Anolis sagrei: one gene and its partner. The protein of the gene in region 1 interacts with the protein of each later gene in a biochemical or structural test. Links are inferred from orthologs where the notes say so. Each region holds a gene or a part of one and is shown on either strand. Other genes may lie near its edges.

The links.
Region 2: of the proteins of AURKA (region 1) and OTUD7B, one has a biochemical effect on the other in vitro, tested with the Homo sapiens proteins (2 studies listed by BioGRID, with this or other methods). The link is inferred for Anolis sagrei from reciprocal best matches to the Homo sapiens genes AURKA and OTUD7B.

Annotation. Positions count from the first base shown.
Region 1 is NC_090024.1:226,266,213-226,276,728, reverse strand, and holds the start of AURKA (aurora kinase A), read left to right. Parts: upstream 1-6,335; 5' UTR 6,336-6,420; exon of another isoform or gene 6,421-6,498; intron 6,499-6,528; exon of another isoform or gene 6,529-6,600; intron 6,601-10,452; 5' UTR 10,453-10,457; coding exon 10,458-10,511; intron 10,512-10,516. Other genes in the region: CSTF1 (cleavage stimulation factor subunit 1), read right to left, coding at 1-186. UniProt on the Homo sapiens protein: Mitotic serine/threonine kinase that contributes to the regulation of cell cycle progression.
Region 2 is NC_090032.1:5,647,769-5,658,263, reverse strand, and holds the start of OTUD7B (OTU domain-containing protein 7B), read left to right. Parts: upstream 1-5,879; 5' UTR 5,880-5,970; intron 5,971-10,271; exon of another isoform or gene 10,272-10,495. UniProt on the Homo sapiens protein: Negative regulator of the non-canonical NF-kappa-B pathway that acts by mediating deubiquitination of TRAF3, an inhibitor of the NF-kappa-B pathway, thereby acting as a negative regulator of B-cell responses.

The DNA.
Region 1 (10,516 bases):
TCGATCTGCGCTGGAAACGGCTCCTGGAGGCCCGAGAGCGTCGGGAGGGGGCGGCGGCAAAGGCAGCGGGAGCGGGGCTGGAGGGAGGCCTGGCGGAGGAGGAGGAGCAGGAAGCGGCGGAGGAGGAGGCAGGAGCAGCCGGGATCGAGGGCCGCTCCGTCGAACAGGCTGCTGCACCGAGCACATCGATTGGAGCCGCAGCTGGAGGGCGGGGAAACCAAGCAAGGGTCACACGGAGCATGCGCCGACTCGCATGGAAGTGGCGAAGGCAGGATGAATGCAGTTTGGCACTACTTTTAATTGCCGTAACTCAATGCCTGGGAGTTGTTCTTTGGAGAGGCAGTCGCACTCTTTGGCAGACAAACTACAACTCCCAGGATTCCATACCACTGAGACATTGCACCTGAAATGGTGTCAAAGCCCCATTCGTTGTACAGTGTACTGTAGATGTACCCTGATGCATCCAATTACAAACTTGGGCTCTCCTGCAGTTTCGGACTTCAGCTCCCAGAAGCCTCGGTCAGTATGACCCAACAGCTAGGGGTTCTGGGAGTTGAAGTCCAAAAGCACCTCAGCTTAGGAATCACGTTCCACTTTAAATGCCATGGTGACATCCTGTGGGGTGTCCCTGGTGGCACAGTGGGTTAAACCCCTGTGCCGGCAGGACTGGTTCGAATCCAGGGAGAGGCGGATGAGCTCCCTCTATCAGCTCCAGCTCCTAATGCGGGGACATGAGAGAAGCCTCCCACAAGGATGATAAAACATCAAATCATCCAGGCGTCCCCTGTGTAACGTCCTTGCAGACGGCCAATTCTCTCACACCAGAAGCGACTTGCAGTTTCTCAGGTCGCTCCTGACACGACAAAAAAATAATAATCCTGTGGGGTTTTGTGGTTTGTAGTTTAGTGGGGTCCCAGAGCTCTATGGTGGAGGATTCTAAATGCACTCCCAACTGTAAATCCCAGAATACTTTATAACAGGGGTCCTCAAACATTTTAAACAGAGGGCCAGATCGCAGTCCCTCAAACGGTTGGAGGGCCGGATTATAATTTGAAGAAAACATGAATTTGTAGTGCAAAAAACACATTAAAACAATACAATAATTAAAATGAATAACAATTTAAACAAATATAAACTTATTAGTATGTCAATGGGAAATGTGGGCCTGCTTTTGGCTGATGAAATAGGATTGTTGTTGTGTGCTTTCAAGTTGTTTCAAACTTAGGTCGAACAAGCAAGGGCCAGGTAAATGACCTTGGAGGGCCGTATCTGGCCCCCGGGCCTTAGTTTGAGGACCCCTGCTTTATAACGTTGCCATGGAATTTAAGGTGGACCAATAGCACATGTAGTGTGTGGCATTGCAACTGAAGGGGCATGCACTCTGCACATTCTCTGGAGTCCCCTTCCTCACCTTTCTACGTCAGAAGGGGACTCCAGAGAACATGCTGAGTGCATGCCACCACCACTCCTTTAAAAGCTGTATAATAGGCATGTGGGTCTGTCATGTTACACATAGATTTCCAGCATTGGGTTGCTGTGAATTTTCCGGGCTGTCTGACCATGTTCCAGAAACATTCTCTCCTGACATTTCACTCACATCTATAGCAGGCATCCCCAGAGGTCGTGAGTTTTGTGGGAAACAAGGCAAGTATATGACACACACACAAATTTCACGTTTCCAGTTGGGTCCCACTTCCAAAATACCTCATTATGAACATATATGTTAAATCCAGAAAAATCCAAGACACTTAAGAGTCCAATGCATCTTGGGATATGGGATTCTCAACCTATATTTGTGCAATGCACAAACACACAATGAAAGGAAGTACTAGAAGTATCACTAATCCCAACCCACAATTTTACTGTCACTCAAACATCAAGATCTTGTAAAGCAGTGGTTTTCAACCTGTGGGTCCCAGGTGTTTTGGCCTACAACTCTCAGAAATCACTTTACCAGCTGGTAGGATTTCTGGGTGTTGAAGGCCAAAATATCTGAGGACTCACAGGCTGAGAACCACTGTTGTAAAGGCTGCTGCTTTACTCATCAATAAACAGACTGTAGGAACATGGATGCAGAGAATCCTGAGCCTGAAAATAAGGTCTTCTGGGTAGGGTACAGTTTTTCAGCTTTAGGGCTAAAAACAAAAGTCCTGAAACAGTTTCCCACACATGAATATATTTAGTCCTTCTAAACAACAAGAAGTACATGGCCAAGCTTGTGCTTTATGAAAGTCTATAGTTGTTTATATCCTGCTTTTCCTCCAATAAGTTAAAGGCAACATACATAGCTGCTCTTCTTCCCACTTTATACTAACAGCAACACTGTGAGATAGATCTGGTTGGGAGAAAAGGACTGAGTGGCCGAAGGTGACAGTGCTTGTTTTAGAATTTAGTGGAACTGAAACTCCCAAGTCCCAATACAATATTTCTTAGCAGTGCACTACACTGGCTCCCCATAACGTGCTCTGGAGCTCAAGAGAGTAGAATATAAAATAAATTATATTCAGAGTCTGCCATTCCCATGGGGCCTCCAATCTATTAAATAAAAATGTAATGTTCGTTTGTGGGATTAACAGAACTCAAAAACCACTTGACGAATTGACACCAAATGCCCAAATGTGAACACAGGTGGAGTTTGGGGAAAATAGAATCTTGACATTTGGGAATTGCAGTTGCTGGGATTTATAGTTCACCTACAATCACAGAGCATTCTCAACCCCACCAACAATAGAATTGGGCCCAACCTCCCACACAGAACCCCCATGTGGGCCACAGCAATGTGTTGCAGGGGATGGTTAGTCCTAAATAAATATGGAAAGGACTGCTGCCTATATAATGGAAAAAATTCAATTACTATGTGGTGGATACGGTGCATCATAATCATATTTGTTACCAACCTCTCCTTGCAGAATGGGGCAAGATAAAACATTGCTGTGAGGTTTGTTTTGGGCTTTGGGGGCATGTTCCAACAGCATTCTCTCCTAGCTAGAATCTGTGGCTGGCATCTTCAGTGGTTCTGTTGGCAGAGAAGCAAATGGAGTGTATATACACAGGTACACTCCACTCACTTCATTGCCAACAGAACCTCTGAAGATGCCAGCCACAGATTCAGGTGAAACGTTAGGAGAGAATGCTGCTGGAACATGACCATACAGACCAATAAACTCATAGAAATCCAGTTATTCTGGCCATGAAAGCCTTTGACAAGACAAGGATACAACATCATTAAAACAGACGTAACACTTAAAATACATATTACAAAATACAAGGCCAACACTTAAAACACACAGTCCCTGGTTTATAAGCACTCAACTTACAAATTATTCATAGCTAAGAACAGGGGTGAGACAACAGGAAGTGAGAGAAATCTACTTCTTGGAAGGGAAATTCGGTCCAGAAAGATTTTTATAATAATAATAATAATAATAACTCTTTATTTATATCCCACTTTTCTCCCTGAACGGAACCCAAAGCGGCTGACAACATTATAAAAACAATACAAATCAACATACATATGTAAAACAATAACCTATAAAACCAAATTTACAATAGGGAATAAATATACTTTAAAACATCAAATGCAATTATTGTGTGAAACTCAACAAGAGACAGTAAACTTAGCATGACTTACTAAGAGTTAGCCTTCCTGCCATTCCAAGTAAGTTTTCATTAAAAGCTTGTGCGAACAGAAAGGCCTTTAGCTGCTTTTTGAAAGATGGCAGGGAGGGGACTGTTTTACCCTATTGAAAGCTTTATTACCAATCCTTGTTTCCACAAACCAAATATTTCAAAATCCAATTATCAGAACCTATAAAACCTGTCTTGTTCATAACTTAGGGACTACCTGTATTGGATTATACAGTGGCTTCTTGTTATGATAACTGGATTTCAACACCAGTTGCAGGAGAGTGAGTGTGTTTGTTCTGTTAAAAAAAAAAGCAACAAATCAGCATTATTTGAAAAATAATGAAAAAGGTGCTTAAAGCAGACTATTAAGAGTACTAATGGCATCTTGTTATGATGACTATAGCATGCATTGCTTCCAGGATGGTTTTCAAAACCAGTTGTAGGAGTGCTATTCTTCTTCTTTGTTGTTGTTGTGTCAGGAGCGACTTGAGGAACTGCAAGTCACTTCTGGTGTGAGAGAATTGGCTGTCTGCAAGAACGTTGCCCAGAGGACGCCTGGATGATTTGATGTTTTTATCATCCTTGTGGGAGGCTTCTCTCATGTCCCCGCATGAGGAGCTGGAGCTGATAGAAGGAGCTCATCCGCCTCTCCCTTCTGTTTGTGGGCTTTCCATAGACAAGAGAGAAAAGGGAGATATAGAGCACGTCTCAACTGACCATTTAATGCAGTCTAAAACCGTTATTGAAGAATGTGGTTTCACTGTGCAGACACACAGGAAATCCGGTTTGTGGCCTGGATGGTAATTACATAGACCACATAGCACTGGTATGCATTACAGGACTTTTTTGGAGTGCTTTTGTGGAAGCCTATTACCTGGTTGCCACCATTTGAAACTAGTTTTGAACTGTATTAAATGATCAGTGCAGGTGGAGCCATATTATCCTGTGGGGCCTTTTCAGAGGTAGCTAGTTCATCACTGTGGAAACGGCTAAACTAGAAAAGCTTTTCACCTGATCATAGTTCTGGCATCAAGCTTTTTTTCCCCTGACACCTCCATTACTTCTCATGCTGAATCCAAAGGCATAGCTTTATACTCACATCGGCCTCAAGAAATGGTAGCCGCATTGGCCACTGTTCATTGCTGCTCATGCCCCATGGAAGCTGGTGCCTGTCACATGCGGGAGTGATACGCCGATTTGACATCCTTCCTCATAGATTGAGCAAACTACCGTCCTTATTATACCTTCTTCACATTATCCATGTTTAAACCTTTCCTCGGGGACTGCAGGAACCCAGTCAAATGGAAACCATCTTCTTTAAAAGCACATATCGATTTTACGTCTATTTCTCCAAAGTCAGTCTCATACAGATTACAAAACACACAGGCAGGGAAATGGGCTTCTTCTGAAGTTCACGGTGCTTCTTTCAGTGGTTGTTTGTGTTGAGATGCAATTGACTGGCTTCTAGCCTGAAATGGTACGATATAACTGCTCTTTGTGGAAAATCCTAACCGGCTTTTGTATATTTTCATCAGTTGTTGTTAATGGAAGAGTCCCTCAGGTGTTTCTTACCCCATAAGAACAGCCTACAAAACCCACAGGCAGGGAAATGGGCTTCTTCTGAAGTTCACAGTGCTTCTTTCACTGGTTGTGTTGTGATGCAATTGACTGGCTTCTAGCCTGAAATGGTACGATATAACTGCTCTTTGTGGAAAATCCTAACCGGCTTTTGTATCAGTTGTTGTTAATGGAAGAGTCTCTCAAGTGCTTCTTACCCCATAATTGCCAAAACAACCACACGAGACATGACTCTCACAAAATGTGAGTGAAATCCTCTTCTTGACAGGTCTTGTACTCAATGGGTAAGAAAAGAAGGGTTGACTCTTAAGATATGCAGTTGTGAGCGAGAATACGGCATTTTTTGAATTAAAAAAACCATACAAGAGCACTATATCGTCTTCCCATAAATGCTGAAACTTCCTGATTGTCAGTAGTCGCTTTGGAAAAAGTGTTAAGTCACAAATCCTGGCAAGTGTGACCCTTTTTGTGACTTTCTGATCAATCTAAATGTGTCAAGTCTTTCAAAGTCCTGATTAGGCCTCTTCCTTCCACAAGTGGCTTCAAAGCTGAAGAGTACAAAACAGTTGCTTGTGGCCTTCCATTATCCTTCTATAACACAGCACAACATCCATTCCATATAAGTTTGGGCTACAAACTTAGTATTTAAACATTTGAGGCAGGCGATGGGTTTGGATTGATGATACCACCAAGATCTCATTTCAAACGGAGAAGAGCAACTCTCTCCTTCCCAACACTGAGCGAAGGGGGCGTGGCGAGGCGAAGCGAAGCGCAACTGGCGGAAGAGTAAACGGTAACCAGTGGGGGCAGCGTTGCGCAAACGGCGTAAGGAGCGCACGCGCCAGAAAAAACTCAAGCGTTAAGCTTAACAACCAGGAAGTGAAGCGTTGGGGAAGGTTCCACAGACCACGCCCCCTTCCAATTCAAATCCCCCTTTATCTTTTTTTTTTTTTTGCTTGTCGTGTTGGACGCATGCGTAGTAGAGCTGACCCTTGGAAGAAAAGAAGCTGGCCCCGTTTCTTTTCAGCTGAGACAGTTGGAACCGGAGGAAGGGGGCGGGCCCTGACGCGGAGGCAGCCAATCAGCGAGCGGACGCCGGAGCAGGAAAGGGAGATGATTGACCAATCGTAGCGCGGGAATGGTTTAAAGGGCGTTGAAGGAGGCGGGCGGAGGTTTGAATTCAAACGCTCGTCGGAAGTGCAGAGTGGTGTGGAGTGGAGGTGAGTGGGCCTTCTCGGGAGTCTTCCACAGCGTTTTAACCTGGAAGCTTCTACTCAGGGGCTCTCTTGCGTGGTATCTATCTTCTCTAAGCTTTTTTGGGAACATTTTTTTTTGTGGGGAGAGGGTTTGAAGCATAAAGAACAAGCCTTTAGGAGCAACCACCGCAGGAAGTTGGTGAGCATACAGTGAGCGGGGAGGGTGGGAGTTCTAGTCTAAATTTGCCTTTCCCATGCCCTGGATAGAGACTGGAGAAGCAACACACTGCATGGATAATGCAGTTTGAGACTGTTTCAACTATGCTGGAGAGTCCTGGGAGTTGTAGTTTGAAAAGGTCATTATCTTCTGCCAAAGAGAAGAATAAAGCCTACAAATCCCAGGATTCTACATTATAGAGCAGGCATGTACAAACTTTGGCCCTTCAGGTGTTTGGGATTGCAACTCCCACAATTCCTAACAGCCAGTATGTGTCAATGGTTCATCATCATAGGCCAATGTGAATAATAATAATAATAACTAGCCGTCCCCTGCCACGCGTTGCTGTGGCCCACATGGGGGTTCTGTGTGGGAGGTTTCGCCCAATTCTATCGTTGGTGGGGTTCAGAATGCTCTGATTGTAGGCGAACTATAAATCCCAGCAAGTACAACTCCCAAATGTCAAGATTCTATTTTCCCCAAACTCCACCAGCGTTCACATTTGGACATACTGAGTATTTGTGTAGAGTTTGGTCCAGATCCATCATTGTTTGAGTCCACAGTGATCTCTGGATGTAGGTGAACTACAACTCCAAAACCAAAGGACACAGCCCACCAAACCCTTCCAGTATTTTCTGTTGGTCATGGGAGAGCTGCGTGCCAAGTTTGCTTCAATTCCATTGTTGGTGGGGTTCAGAATGCTCTTTGGTTGTAGGTGAACTATAACTCCCAGCAAGTACAACTCCCAAATGTCAAGATTCTATTTTCCCCAAAATCCACCAGCGTTCACATTTGGACATACTGAGTATTTGTGTAAAGTTTGGTCCAGATCCATCATTGTTTGAGTCCACAGTGATCTCTGGATGTAGGTGAACTACAACTCCAAAACCAAAGGACACAGCCCACCAAACCCTTCTAGTATTTTCTGTTGGTCATGGAAGAACTGTGTACTAAGTTTGGTTCAATTCCATCATTGATGGAGTTCAGAATGCTCTTTGATTGTAGGTGAACTATAAATCCCAGCAACTGCAACTCCCAAATGACAAAATCATAAATTTTTGAGTGATGGTCACTCCTTGTGTTGTGAGACGTTTTGTTGCCAAATTTGGTGTTATATCATTCATTGGTTCTTTTGTTTTTAAGGTACTCATTATGCACAGAGCATTTATATATAGATATACTCGTACTCCATATTCTGCTCTATCTTCCTGAGGGGACTCCTATTGCAAACATTCAATGCCATTGTAAAATTGGCAGAGACAGACAATACATAAACAGAGGCAAGGCATCTCTCTTTTCCTCTCTGTGCTTGACTCGGTCATGGAGAGGTGCTGTTGTTTCATTTTCCATAGATGCCTTTCTTGGTCAGTTTTTTGCTGGCATGTTTTTTCAGGTCGCCTTTTACCTCTCCGCCAAAGCAGCACCTATTTATCTACTTACATTGTTTTCAAACTGCTAGGTGATCAGAAGCTGGACTGATGGCCGGGAGCTCACCCCATGCCGGGTTTGAATCTTCTGGTCAGCAGAATCTTCTATAGCAGGCAGTTTAAGGCATATATGACGAAGGCAGTCCTTTTTAGGTTTTTGAGAATCTGGCACCATTGTATTGTTCCCCACACCTGAACCTGCAAATTCTTCAGGTGCGTGGTACAGGCAGCCACCAAGTTACAAACAACATTCTTAAGTTGAATTTGTATGTAAATTGGAACAGGTACATTTAAAAGTGTAATTCTAGATAGATAGATGTTTCAGATAGCATAAGGAAGGGTTAATACCCCTGTGATGTTTGGTATGCTGTTTGTGCTCCTGTTCAGAAGATTTCACCTCACTTCCTGTCCCTGTGGATTTTGAAAAAAAAAAAAGCTTGTTCTGGAAGCAAGGCTTGGTGAGAAAACTTCAGTGGAGAAATCTTTCCCCCACAATCACTCTTCCAGGATGAATTTCTCTTCTGAGGGATACATTACTCACTTAGAATTATAGAATCAAAGAGTTGGAAGAGACCTCATGGGCCATCCAGTCCAACCCCCTGCCAAGACGCAGGAATATTGCATTCAAACCACCCCTGACAGATGGCCATTCAGCCTCTGTTTAAAAGCTTCTAAAGAAGGAGCCTCCACCACACTCCAGGGCAGAGAGTTCCATTGCTGAACGGCTCTCACAGTCAGGAAGTTCTTCCCCATGTTCAGATGGAATCTCCTTTCTTGTAGTTTGAAGCCATTGTTTCACATCCTAGTCTCCAGGGAAGCAGAAAACAAGCTTGCTCCCTCCTCCCTGTGGCTTCCTCTCACATATTTATACATGGCTATCCTATCTCCTCTCAGCATTCTCTTCTTCAGGCTAAACATGCCCAGCTCCTTAAGCTGCTCTTCATAGGGCTTGTTCTCCAAACCCTTGATCATTTTAGTCGCCCTCCTCTGGACACATTTCAGCTTGTCAATATCTCTTCAGTTGTGGTGCCCAGAATTGGATACAATATTCCAGGTGTGATCTAACCAAAGCAGGATAGAGGGGTAGCATTACTTCCCTAGATCTAGACACTATGTTCCTATTGATGCAGGCCAACTTCCTGTTGTCTTTCTCCTGTCCTTAACTATGAGTTGTTTGTAAGTTGTATGTTTGTAACTTGGGAACCACCTATATGTGTATACTTGATTGATAAGCTGCTTTGGGAAGGTTGGTGGTTCAAATCCATGAGACGGGATGAGCTCCTGTCTTTCAGCTCCAGCTTCCCATGTGGGGAAATGAGAGAACACTTCCACAGGATGGTAACACATCTGGGCATCCTCTGGGCAACGCCTTTACAGACAGCCAATTCTCTCATATTGGAAGCGACTAGCAGTTTCTCAAGTCACTTCAGACATGAAAAAAGCTGCTTTTCTATAACCTTTAAAACTGAGATCCTGTCTCCATGGACCATTTATTGCAATCCAAAACTAGCTTTGCAGCCAGGCAGCAAATCACTCAAAAACATGTTCGAAAGAAAACTTAAATGCACACTAGAGCTCTGGTTTGTGTAATTACCCTCCAGGCTTCATTGCTGGCTTCAACCTGCCTTAAATGATTACTGTAGATGGGGGCCTAAACTGCAAATCCTACCTGCCCCTTAGGTCATAATAAAATTCCTTCCTGGATTACTGTTATTGGGCATTGCCACATATCTGTTAAGTCTATTAATTAGTACCTGAACTGGAATGTCCTGGTGTCTCCTTTTTGCTCTGATCTGGTGTGGGATATGTGTGTGCCTTCAAGTTTCCAGTCTATTTATGCACTTTATCCACTAGCCCTATCCTCAAAAATGGACTTACACCACTCTGCCCACCTGTGCCCAGAAACTGATTATTAGGTTCATTGGTTGTTGGTTCGATGGTTTGCTCATACAATTTTGTTATAATGTTGCTGTTTTATGCTGTTTATGTATTTTAGTGTGTTATTTTTAGTTTAATTATGTTGACTGGGCTTGTCCCCATGTAAGCCCCCTGCATCCTTTCGGGGAGAGTTATTATTTAGGGTGATATTAGGAATTTCATATATTTTTTCTTTGGCAAGGAATACATATATGTGTTTTTTTTCCAGTTTCCTTCTCAGAAATATAGGTCACAGTACCTCTAATTTATTGTCCAAATAATTTCATTGATGTGAAGGTTTGGGCATCAGAATGAACTGGTGAAAGTAATCAATGTAATGGTCTAAGTTTTCAAGGCATGCTTTTTAAGAATCATTTGCTCACATTATTTAAAAAATAATCTCAGATTTTTAGTCATGTTGGAATTTAAAAAACCTGGGAATTTTATCCTACACATGTTAAATGACTAAACTTCTTCCTTTTTCCTCAAGCAATAATGGAAAAAATAGGTAAAGAGAACTTGAATGGACATCCATGTCATCATAGCAAGGTAAA
Region 2 (10,495 bases), on another chromosome or scaffold:
GATTGTATAAATCTGGATGGCCATCTGTCGAGAGGGCTTTGATGTTGTCTTCCTGAGTCTCCTTCTTTGGAGATTTTCCAGCAGAGACTGGATGGCCATCTGTCAGGAGGGCTTTGGTTGTGTCTCCTGTTGGACTGGACAGCCCTTGGAGTTATCTTCCAACTTTAGGATTCTATAATTTTGGATGGCCATCTGTAGAGAGGGCTTTGACGGTGTCAGAAGGAGGCTGGACTGGATGGCCCTTGGAGTTATCTTCCGACTCTAGGATTGTATAAATCTGTATGGCCATCTGTCGAGAGGGCTTTGACGGTCTCAGAAGGGGGTTGGACTGGATGGCCCTTGGAGTTATCTTCCAACTCTAGGATTCTATACAGCTGTATGACCATCTGTTGAGAGGGCTTTGACGGTGTTGGAAGGAGCTTGAATTGGATGGCCCTTGGAGTTATCTTCTAACTCCAGGATTCTATAAGGCTGTATGGCCATCTGTCGAGAGGGCTTTGACGGTGTCAGAAGGGGGTTGGACTGGACGGCCCTTGGAGTTATCTTCCGACTCTACGATTGTATAAATCTGGATGGCCATCTGTCGAGAGGGCTTTGACGGTGTTGGAAGGAGGGTGGACTGGATGGTCCTTGTTGTTCCCTTCGAACTTGAAAATTCTATAAGGCTGTATGGCCATCTGTCGAGAGGGCTTTGACGGTTTCAGAAGGGCGTTGGACTGGACGGCCCTTGGAGTTATCTTCCGACTCTAGGATTTTATAAATCTGGATGGCCATCTGTCAAGAGGGCTTTGATGGTGTCTTCCCGGGTCTCCTTCTTTGGAGATTTTCCAGCAGAGACTGGATGGCCATCTGTCGGGAGGGCTTTGGTTGTGTCTCCTGTTGGACTGGATGCCCTTCCAACAGACACAAGAGTTGCTTCCAAAGCCAGTGCTGTCTCTCTGCACAAACTTTGGAAACCAGGCCAAAGCGGGGCCTTTTCCGTCCTTTCCTCCCGCTCCCTGCCCGCTTGTTTTCAATGGCCAAGAAAACAACACCGGGCCGGGTCCCTTTGGGGAAGCTGGCACGGCACAGAAGTTCCTTTCTTTGCTGGACTCTTCTGTTGTGTCCCCAGAAAGGATGATAAACACGGCTTTTTTTGTCTCGGACATCAACAACAGCCGGGAGGGGGAGACGGGGGAAGACAAAGGGGACGATTCAACCGTTCGGGTCAGCCGGGGTGTCCGCATGACCGCTTGGACGGACACACAGACACACACGAGCCTTCGCGTCGATGCCCATTCAGATCTGGGAGAATATGTTGCCTTGGAGTCTGGTGGAATCTCCTTCTCAAGCAGAGGATGGCTGGCCATCTGTCGGGAGGGGTCGGATTGTGCCTCCCTGATGTGCAGAAAGGGTTGGACTCTAGGATCCAACTCTAGGATTCCATCCTCGTAATCATCATGGTTGTCATTTTTGATCATATTCATGATGATGGCGTCTTCTTCTTTGGAGGCCGAATGGCCATCTGTCGGGAGGGATTGGATTGTGCCTCCCTGATTGGCAGAAAGGGTTGGACTCTAGGATCCAACTCTAGGATTCCATCCTCGTAATCATCATGTTTGTCATTTCTGATCATATTCATGATGATGGAGTCGTCTTCTTTGGAGGCCGAATGGCCATCTGTCGGGAGGGATTGGATTGTGCCTCCCTGATGTGCAGAAAGGGTTGGACTCTAGGATCCAACTCTAGGATTCCATCCTCGCAATCATCATTGTTGTCATTTTTGATAATATTCATGATGATGGAATCTTCTTCTTTGGAGGCTGAATGGCCATCTGTCGGGAGGGATTGGAACGTGACATCCTGCCTGGCTGAATTAGGTTGGACTGGATGGCCTTTGGGGTCCTTTAGAATAGGATGGTCCTCAGGGTCCCTTCCAACGCTAAGATTCTATGATTCAGAGTCTGGATGGTTATCTGTCGGGAGAGCTTGGATGGTGTCTTCCTGCCTGGCAGAATCGGGTGGGACTAGATGGCCTTTGGAGGGTCCCTTCTGACTCTAGGATTCTATCATTTTACGTTTTGGTGAAAGCAGTGTGCTCAGGATGGCCAAAGGTTGCTACCCAAAACTCATGGTGTGTCTCCACTATAGATTGATGCTGTTTGAAACCACTTCAGCTGTTCCAGCACAATGCTAGAGTCCTGGAAGTTATTTAGATGGATGGATGGCTAGATAGATAGATAAATAGATAGATACTTACTTACTTAGGCGATCCCTCGTTGGACGAGTAAGATGGTCTTCCGCTATGGATTTCCTTGTGGGTCCGTATGTGGCTGTGAAGCCCTATTCTTCCTCTGCATCTTCTTCCCCAGAGAGATAGAGAGATGGATGGATAGATAGATAGATAGATAGATAGATAGATAGATGACTAGATAGAGAGATATAGAAATAGATAGATAAATAGTTAGGGAGAGAAAAAGAAATGGATGGATACATAGATCGATAGATCGATAGATCGATCGACCGACAGACAGACAAGACAGACAGACAGACAGACAGATAGATTGAGATGGATAGATGGATGGATGGATGGATGGCTAGATAGATAGATAGATAGATAGATAGATAGATAGATAGATAGATGTGTGGATAGATGGATGGATGGATGGATGGATGGATAGATGGATGATAGCGGGAGAGAGAGAGAGATAGATAGAGATTGAGAGAAAGATGGAGATAGATAGAGAGAGAGATGGATGGATGGGTAGGTAGATAGATAGATAGATAGATAGATAGATAGATAGATAGATAGATAGAGATTGATGGGTGGATAGATAGATGGATAGAGATCAAGAGAAAGAGAGAGAGAGAGAGAGAGAGAGGGTTAGATAGATAGATAGATAGATAGATAGATAGATAGATAGATAGAGATTGATGGGTGGATAGATAGATGGATAGAGATCAAGAGAAAGAGAGAGAGAGAGAGAGGGATAGATAGATAGATAGATAGATAGATAGAGATTGATGGGTGGATAGATAGATGGATAGAGATCAAGAGAAAGAGAGAGAGAGAGAGAGAGAGAGGGATAGATAGATAGATAGATAGATAGATAGATAGATAGATAGATAGATAGAGATTGATGGGTGGATAGATAGATGGATAGAGATCAAGAGAAAGAGAGAGAGAGAGAGAGAGAGAGAGAGAGGGATAGATAGATAGATAGATAGATAGATAGATAGATAGATAGATAGATAGATAGAGATTGATGGGTGGATAGATAGATGGATAGAGATCAAGAGAAAGAGAGAGAGAGAGAGAGAGAGAGGGATAGATAGATAGATAGATAGATAGATAGATAGATAGATAGATAGATAGAGATTGATGGGTGGATAGATAGATGGATAGAGATCAAGAGAAAGAGAGAGAGAGAGAGAGAGGGATAGATAGATAGATAGATAGATAGATAGATAGATAGATAGATAGATAGATAGATGATAGATAGATGGATAGATAGATGGAGAAAGAGAGAGATGGATGGATAGAAAGATAGATAGATAGATTATAGTTTCACATGCTCCCCTTGGCCAAAGAGTGCGGGGGGCCTCCGCAAACTACAACTCACATCCTGATAGCTTGAAGCTTTGGCGGTGAAAGTGGCATCAGACTGCATTCATGCAATGGTGTCGACATGTGTCTCCTTGTGGAGAGGAAAAGCAGGGTATAAATAAACATAAACATAAACATAATAACAACAACAATAATGATCGAACTGCCAAAACTCTGGCACAAGCCAGTCAATGGGGTCCCAGTGGTGATCGGCACACTGGGTGCAGTGTCTCAAGACCTTGGCCTGCACTTAAACACAATCGGCTCTGACAAAATTACCATCTGCTATCTTACTGGGATCTGCACGCATTATTTGCCGACACATCACACAGTCCTAGGCACTTGGGAAGTGTCCGACGTGTGATCCAATACAACAGCCAGAAGAGTGTCTGCTGTGGACTCATCTTGTTGTGTTTCAAATAATAATAATAATAATAATAATAATAATAATAATAATAATAATAATAATAAATACATCACACAGTCCTAGGCACTTGGGAAGTGTCCGACGTGTGATCCAATACAACAGCCAGCACAGTGTCTGCTGTGGACTCATCTTGTTGTGTTTCCAATAATAATAATAATAATAATAATAATAATAATGTCCAGGCCATTGGTTGAATACAACAACACCTGAGTCCACCACTGGCATTTTTTGCCTCTGTTTTCTTCCCTCCAGAGGATGAATGACCAAAGGCCACACACACGCTGACCCCGGCACATTTTCCACATGCTTCTCCTGCCGATGCCTCGAGCATCCCACGGCAGAGAGAATGCCAAGCACTCCGTCCCTTGCGACGAAGAGAGCTGCCCACGGAGGAGAAGCCCACTTCTCCTCTTGTGATGTTTGGCTTCTGCGGCCATTGCTTTGGCTGGAAAACCGAGCCCCGGAGAAGAAGATGAAGAAGATGAAGGCCATCTTCTCACCTCAGCCTGACCATCCATGATGAGGACTATTTTTTCTTAATCTTCTCCCTCCTCTCCTTCTTCTCTTCTTTCCTCTCCTCCTTCTTCATCATCATCTCCATCTTCTTTGTATCCATTCTTTTCCAGCCTTCCTCTTCTTCCATCTCTTTTCTTTCTTCTCCCCTCATCCTCTTTTCCTCCTCTTGCCTCTCCTTCTCTTCCATCTTCTTTTTCCTCCTCCTCCATCGTTTCCAGCCTTCCTCTTCTTCCTCTTCTTCCGTCTCTTTTCCTTCTTCTCCCCTCATCCTCTTTTCCTCCTCTTGCCTCTCCTTCTCTTCCATCTTCTTTTCCCTCCACCTTCATCATCTCCCTCTCCTTCTACCTCCTTTTTTCATCTATTTCTCATTTTCTTCCTTTTGTTTTTCTTCCTCCTTCCCCTTCTTCATCTTCTCATTCCTCTCCTCCATTGTCTTCTACTTCATCTTCCCTCTCCATTTCTTCTTTTTCTTTCTCCTCCATCTCCTTCTCTTTCCTTCACCTTCTTCTCCTTCAAAATCCTTTCCTCCTCTTTCTTCATCTTCTATCTCTTCCTATTCCTCTTCCTCATCTTCTCCTTCCTCTCCATTTTCTTCCACCTCATCTTTCTTCTTCGTCTTCCTTTTCTTCTCCTTCTCCTCTGTCTTCCTCCTCCTCCTTTTCCCCATCTTCTCCTTCCTCAACTCCTTCCCTTCTCTTCCTCTTTTATTTTCTTTCTTTTCTCCATCGTCTTCTTCCTATCCTCCTCCATCTTCTTCCACCTCCACCACCACCTTCTTCTCCTTCTTTCTCCTCCTTCATCTTCTCCTATCTCTCCATCTTCTTCCACCTCCACCACCACCTTCTACTCCTCCTTTCTCCTCCTTCATCTTCTCCTATCTCTCCATCTTCTTCCACCTCTTCTTTCCTCTTCTTCCTTTTCTCCTTCTTCTTTTCCCCATCTTCTCCTTCTTCTCCTCCTTCCATCTTCTTCTTCCTCCTCATCTTTTATCTTCTTCCTTTTCCCCATCTTCATCTTCTCTTTCTCCTCCTCCTCCATCTTCTTCTTCCTTGTCCACCACCTTCTTCTCCTTCTTTCTCCTCCTTCATTTTCTCCTATCCCTCCATCTTCTTCCACCTTCTCTTTCATCTTCTCCTTCCTCCTCCTCCATCATCATTTTCTCCTTCCTCTCCTTCTCCATCATCTTCTTTGTCATCCTCCACTTCCATCTCCTCCTTCTTCCTCCTTCTTCTTCCTCATCTTCCATCTCCTCTTTCATCTTCTTCCTTTTCTTCTCCTTCTTCCACCTTCTTCATCATTTCCTCCTCCTCCATCTCTTCCTATTCCTCCTTCTCTTATTATTACTCCGATAACGGAACTCTGTGGGATCGACCAGGGATCGAGCAAGGTGGCCCCCCACAGATGCAACACAACATCAACATCAAGGATCTCGAGAAGGAAAGTAAGTCTTTATTGCACCCCATGTTGCATAGATTCACACTGTCAAATAAATGCAATCCGACACTGCAACAGTAGTCCAAATATTATCGTGTATACACTACATCTATGTATATAGTAAACTTGTGTCATCAAGGTATGGACTGAAGCCATACAAGTTATTTCCTTATCTTTATTCTTTTTCCACTCTTCATTTTTTGTTCTTTTTCTTTACTTTTATTGCATCTTATACTTATTGCACATTTCGCATCCTCTTATTGCACTTTTTCTTTATTCTTATTGCAATTTTTCCTTTACATTTATTGCACTTTTTCTTTGTTCTTAATTCACTTTATTCTTATTGTACTTTTTCTTTACTTTTATTGCACTTTATACTTATTGCACTTTTCCTATAGTTTTATTGCACTTTATTCTTATTGTTCTTCATTCTTATTGCACTTTTCTTTACTTTTAATGCACTTTATACTTATTGCAACTTTTATAAACATTTATTTCACTTTTTACTTGTGTTGTACTTTATTCTTATTATACATTTTCTTTACTTTTATTGCACTTTTTTTACTTTTATTGCACTTTTTCCTTACTTGTGTTATACTTTATTCTTATTGCATTTTCTTTACTTTTATTCCACTTGTTTTTACTTTTATTGCACTTTTTCTTTACTTTTATTGCAGTTTTTTTGTTGTGTTGTACTTTATTCTTATTGAACTTTCCTTTACTTTTATTTCACTTTACTTTTATTGCACTTTATTTACTTGTGTTGTACTTTATTGCACTTTACATTACTTTCCTTGCACTTTTTCTTTACTTTTATTGCACTTTTTGTTACGTGTTGTACTTTATTCTTATTGTACTTTTTCTTTATTTTTATTTCACTTTTAAACTTTTATTTCATTTTTCCTTTACTTGTGTTGTACTTTATTCTTATTTCACATTTTCTTTTCTTTTCTTGCATTTTAAAAACTTTTATTGCACTTTTTAGACTTGTGTTGTACTTTATTCTTATTATACATTTTACTCTTATTGCACTTTTTACTGTTATTGCACTTTCATTATTTTTTCTTTCCTTGTTGTACTTTATTTTTGCACATTTTCATCACTTTTATTGCACTGTTTCTTTACATTTATTGTACTTATTTACTAGTGTTGTACTTTATTATTGCACTTTTTCATCACTTTTATTGCACATTTTCTTTATTTTCATTGCACTTTTTCTTTACTTTTGTAACACTTTTTCTTTACTTGTGCTATACTTTATTATTTTACTTTTCATCACTTTTATTGCTCATTTCCTTTCCTTGTGTTGTACTTTATTCTTATTACACATTTTCATCACTTTTATTGCACTTTTCTCTACTTTTTTGCACTTTTTCTTTCCTTGTGTTGTACTTTATTCTTATCACATATTTTCTCTACTTTTATTGCACTTTTTCTTTACTTTTATTGCCCTTTTCCTTTCCTTGTGTCATACTTTATTCTTCTTGCATATTTTCTCTATTTTTATTGCACTTTTTATTTTATTGCACTTTTTTATTTTAATGCATTTCATTATTTGTACTTTATTGTTGCACTTTTATTTACTTTCATTATACTTTTCCTTTCCTTGTGTCTTACTTTATTCTTCTTGCATATTTTCACTACTTTTATTGCACTTTTCTCTACTTTTATTGCACTTTTAATTTACTTTTATTACATGATTTCACTACTTTTACTTTATTGTAGCACTTTTTCTTTACCTTTATTGCACTTTTTGTTACTTTTTTTGTACTTTATATTCTTATTGCACTTTTTCTTTACTTTTATTGCATGATTTCATTATTTGTACTTTATTGTTGCACTTTTTAAACTTTTATTGCACTTTTTCTTTCCTTGTGTTGTACTTAATTCTTATTGCATATTTTCTCTACTTTTATTTCACTTTTCTTTACTTTTATTGCACTTTTTCTTTACTTTTATTGCAATTTTTCTTTCCTTGTGTTATACTTTATTCTTATTGCATGTTTTCTCTACTTTTATTGCACTTTTTTACTTTTATTGCATGATTTCATTACTTGTGTTGTACTTTATTTATTGCACTTTTTACTTTTATTGCACTTTTTCTTTACTTTTATTGCATGATTTCATTATTTTTACTTTATTCTTGCACCTTTCTTTACTTTTATTGCCCTTTTTCTTTCCTTGTGTCGTACTTTATTCTTCTTGCATATTTTCTCTACTTTTATTGCACTTATTTACTTTTTGCACTTTTTCTTTCCTTGTACTTTATTATTGCACTTTTTCTCTACTTTTATTGCAATTTTTATTTACTTTTATTGCACTTTTTCTTTCCTTGTGTTGTACTTTCTTCTTATTGCACATGTTCTCTACTTTTATTGCAATTTTTCTTTCCTTGTATTGTACTTTATTCTTCTTGCACCTTCTCTTTACTTTTATTTCACTTTTATTTACTTTTATTGCATGATTTCATTACTTGTGTTGTACTTTATTGTTTCACTTTTTCTTTACTTTTATTGTACTTTTTCCTCACTTTTATTGCCCTTTTTCTTTCCTTGTGTCTTACTTTATTCTTCTTGCATATTTTCTCTACTTTTATTGCACTTTCCTTTACTTTTATTGCCCTTTTCCTTTCCTTGTGTTGTACTTTATTCTTCTTGTCCCTTCTCTTTAACTTTTATTGCACTTTTTCTTTACTTTTATTGAATGATTTCATTACTTGTGCCGTACTTTATTGTTGGACTTTTTCTTTACTTTTATTGCACTTTTTCTGTGTTGTACTTTCTTCTTATTGCATATTTTCTCTACTTTTATTGCACTTTTTATTTACTTTTTTGTACTTTTTGTGTAGTACTTTATTCTTATTACATATTTTCTCTACTTTTATTGCATTTTCTTTACTTTTTTGCACTTTTTCTTTCCTTGTTTTGTACTTTATTCTTATTGCACTTTCTCTTTACTTTTATTGCACTTTCTCCTTGTGTCTTACTTTATTCTTCTTGCATATTTTCTCTACTTTTATTGCACTTTTTATTTACTTTTATTGCATGATTTTATTACTTGTACTTTATTGTTGCACTTTTTCTTTACTTTTATTGCACTTTGTCATACTTTATTCTTTTTGCACCTTCTCTTTACTTTGCTCATTACTTTGCTTCCACTTCATCCTTATTTCCCTTTCCCTTATTTCCTGGTTCCACACTTTCATTCTTGTTGCACTTTTCCCTTTATTGATCTTTTCCTACCTAATCTTTGCATTGCCCTTTCTTGACCTTGATTGCACTTTCCCCCCCTTTTAATGTTGACTTCACATTATTCCTTATGGTCCTTTTATCTATTATCCATCCCCCCCTTTCTTCCAAAACCATTTCCCTCCCTAGAATGGGCGTGCTTTGTTCCTTCCTGCCTTCCCTTCCCAAGCATTTGAGCAGGAGGCGTGGCTTTGGGGAAAGGAGCGAATCCCCGCCCCTTAGTGGGCGTGGCTTGCTGCCCGCCAGCGCTGATTGGCCCGCACTGTCTTCCCTTCCCAGGCATTTGAGCGAAAAGAACGAAGCACCGCCCCTTTATGGGCGTGGCTTGCTGCCCGCCAGCGCTGATTGGCCCGCTCTGCCTTTCCCTTCCCAAGCATTCGAGCAGGGGGCGTGGCTTTGGCGAAAAGAACGAAGCGCCGCCCCTTACTGGGCGTGGCTTGCTGCCCGCCAGCGCTGATTGGCCCGCTCTGCCTTCCCTTCCCAGGCATTTGAGCGAAAAGAGCGAAGCACCGCCCCTTCGTGGGCGTGGCTTGTTATCCGCCAGCGCTGATTGGCCCGCTCTTCCTTCCCTTCCCAAGCATTCGAGCAGGGGCGTGGTTTTGGCGAAAAGAGCGAAGGACCGCCCCTTAGTGGGCGTGGCTTGTCACTCGCCAGCGCTGATTGGCCCGCTCTGCCTTCCCTTCCTAGGCATTTAAGCGAAAAGAGCGAAGCACCGCCCCTTTGTGGGCGTGGCTTGCTTTCCGCCAGCTCTGATTGGCCCGCTCTGCCTTCCCTTCCCAAGCATTCGAGCAGGGGGCGTGGCTTTGGCGAAAAGAGCGACTCCCCGCCCTTTGTAGGCGTGGCTTGTTTTCTGCCAGCGCTGATTGGTCCAGCCTTTCTGAGGGGCGTGGCTTGATGTCCGCCAGATTGGCCCGCTCTGCCTTCCCTTCCCAGGCATTCGAGCAGGGGGCGTGGCTTTGGCGAAAAGAGCGAGTCCCCGCCCCTTTGTGGGCGTGGCTTGTTGTCCGCCAGCGCTGATTGGTCCGCCTCTTCTGAGGGGAAGAGGCGGCGTCGTCCTGTTCGGAAACGCCTCCGGGCGGAAACCGGTGCCGGGCTCTTGGAGTTCCGGGGTGGCCGAAGCGGCGAGAAGGGACGAGCGTGGCGCAGAGAGAGAGAGAGACACAGAGAAAGAGAAGCGGAAAGCGGAGGGCCCGGATTGGCTCAATCCCCTCGTCACGGAGAAGGGGCGGGGCCTAAGCCAGGATTGAGGCTCCGCCCCCTGGCTGGCTCTCTCTCTCTCTCTCC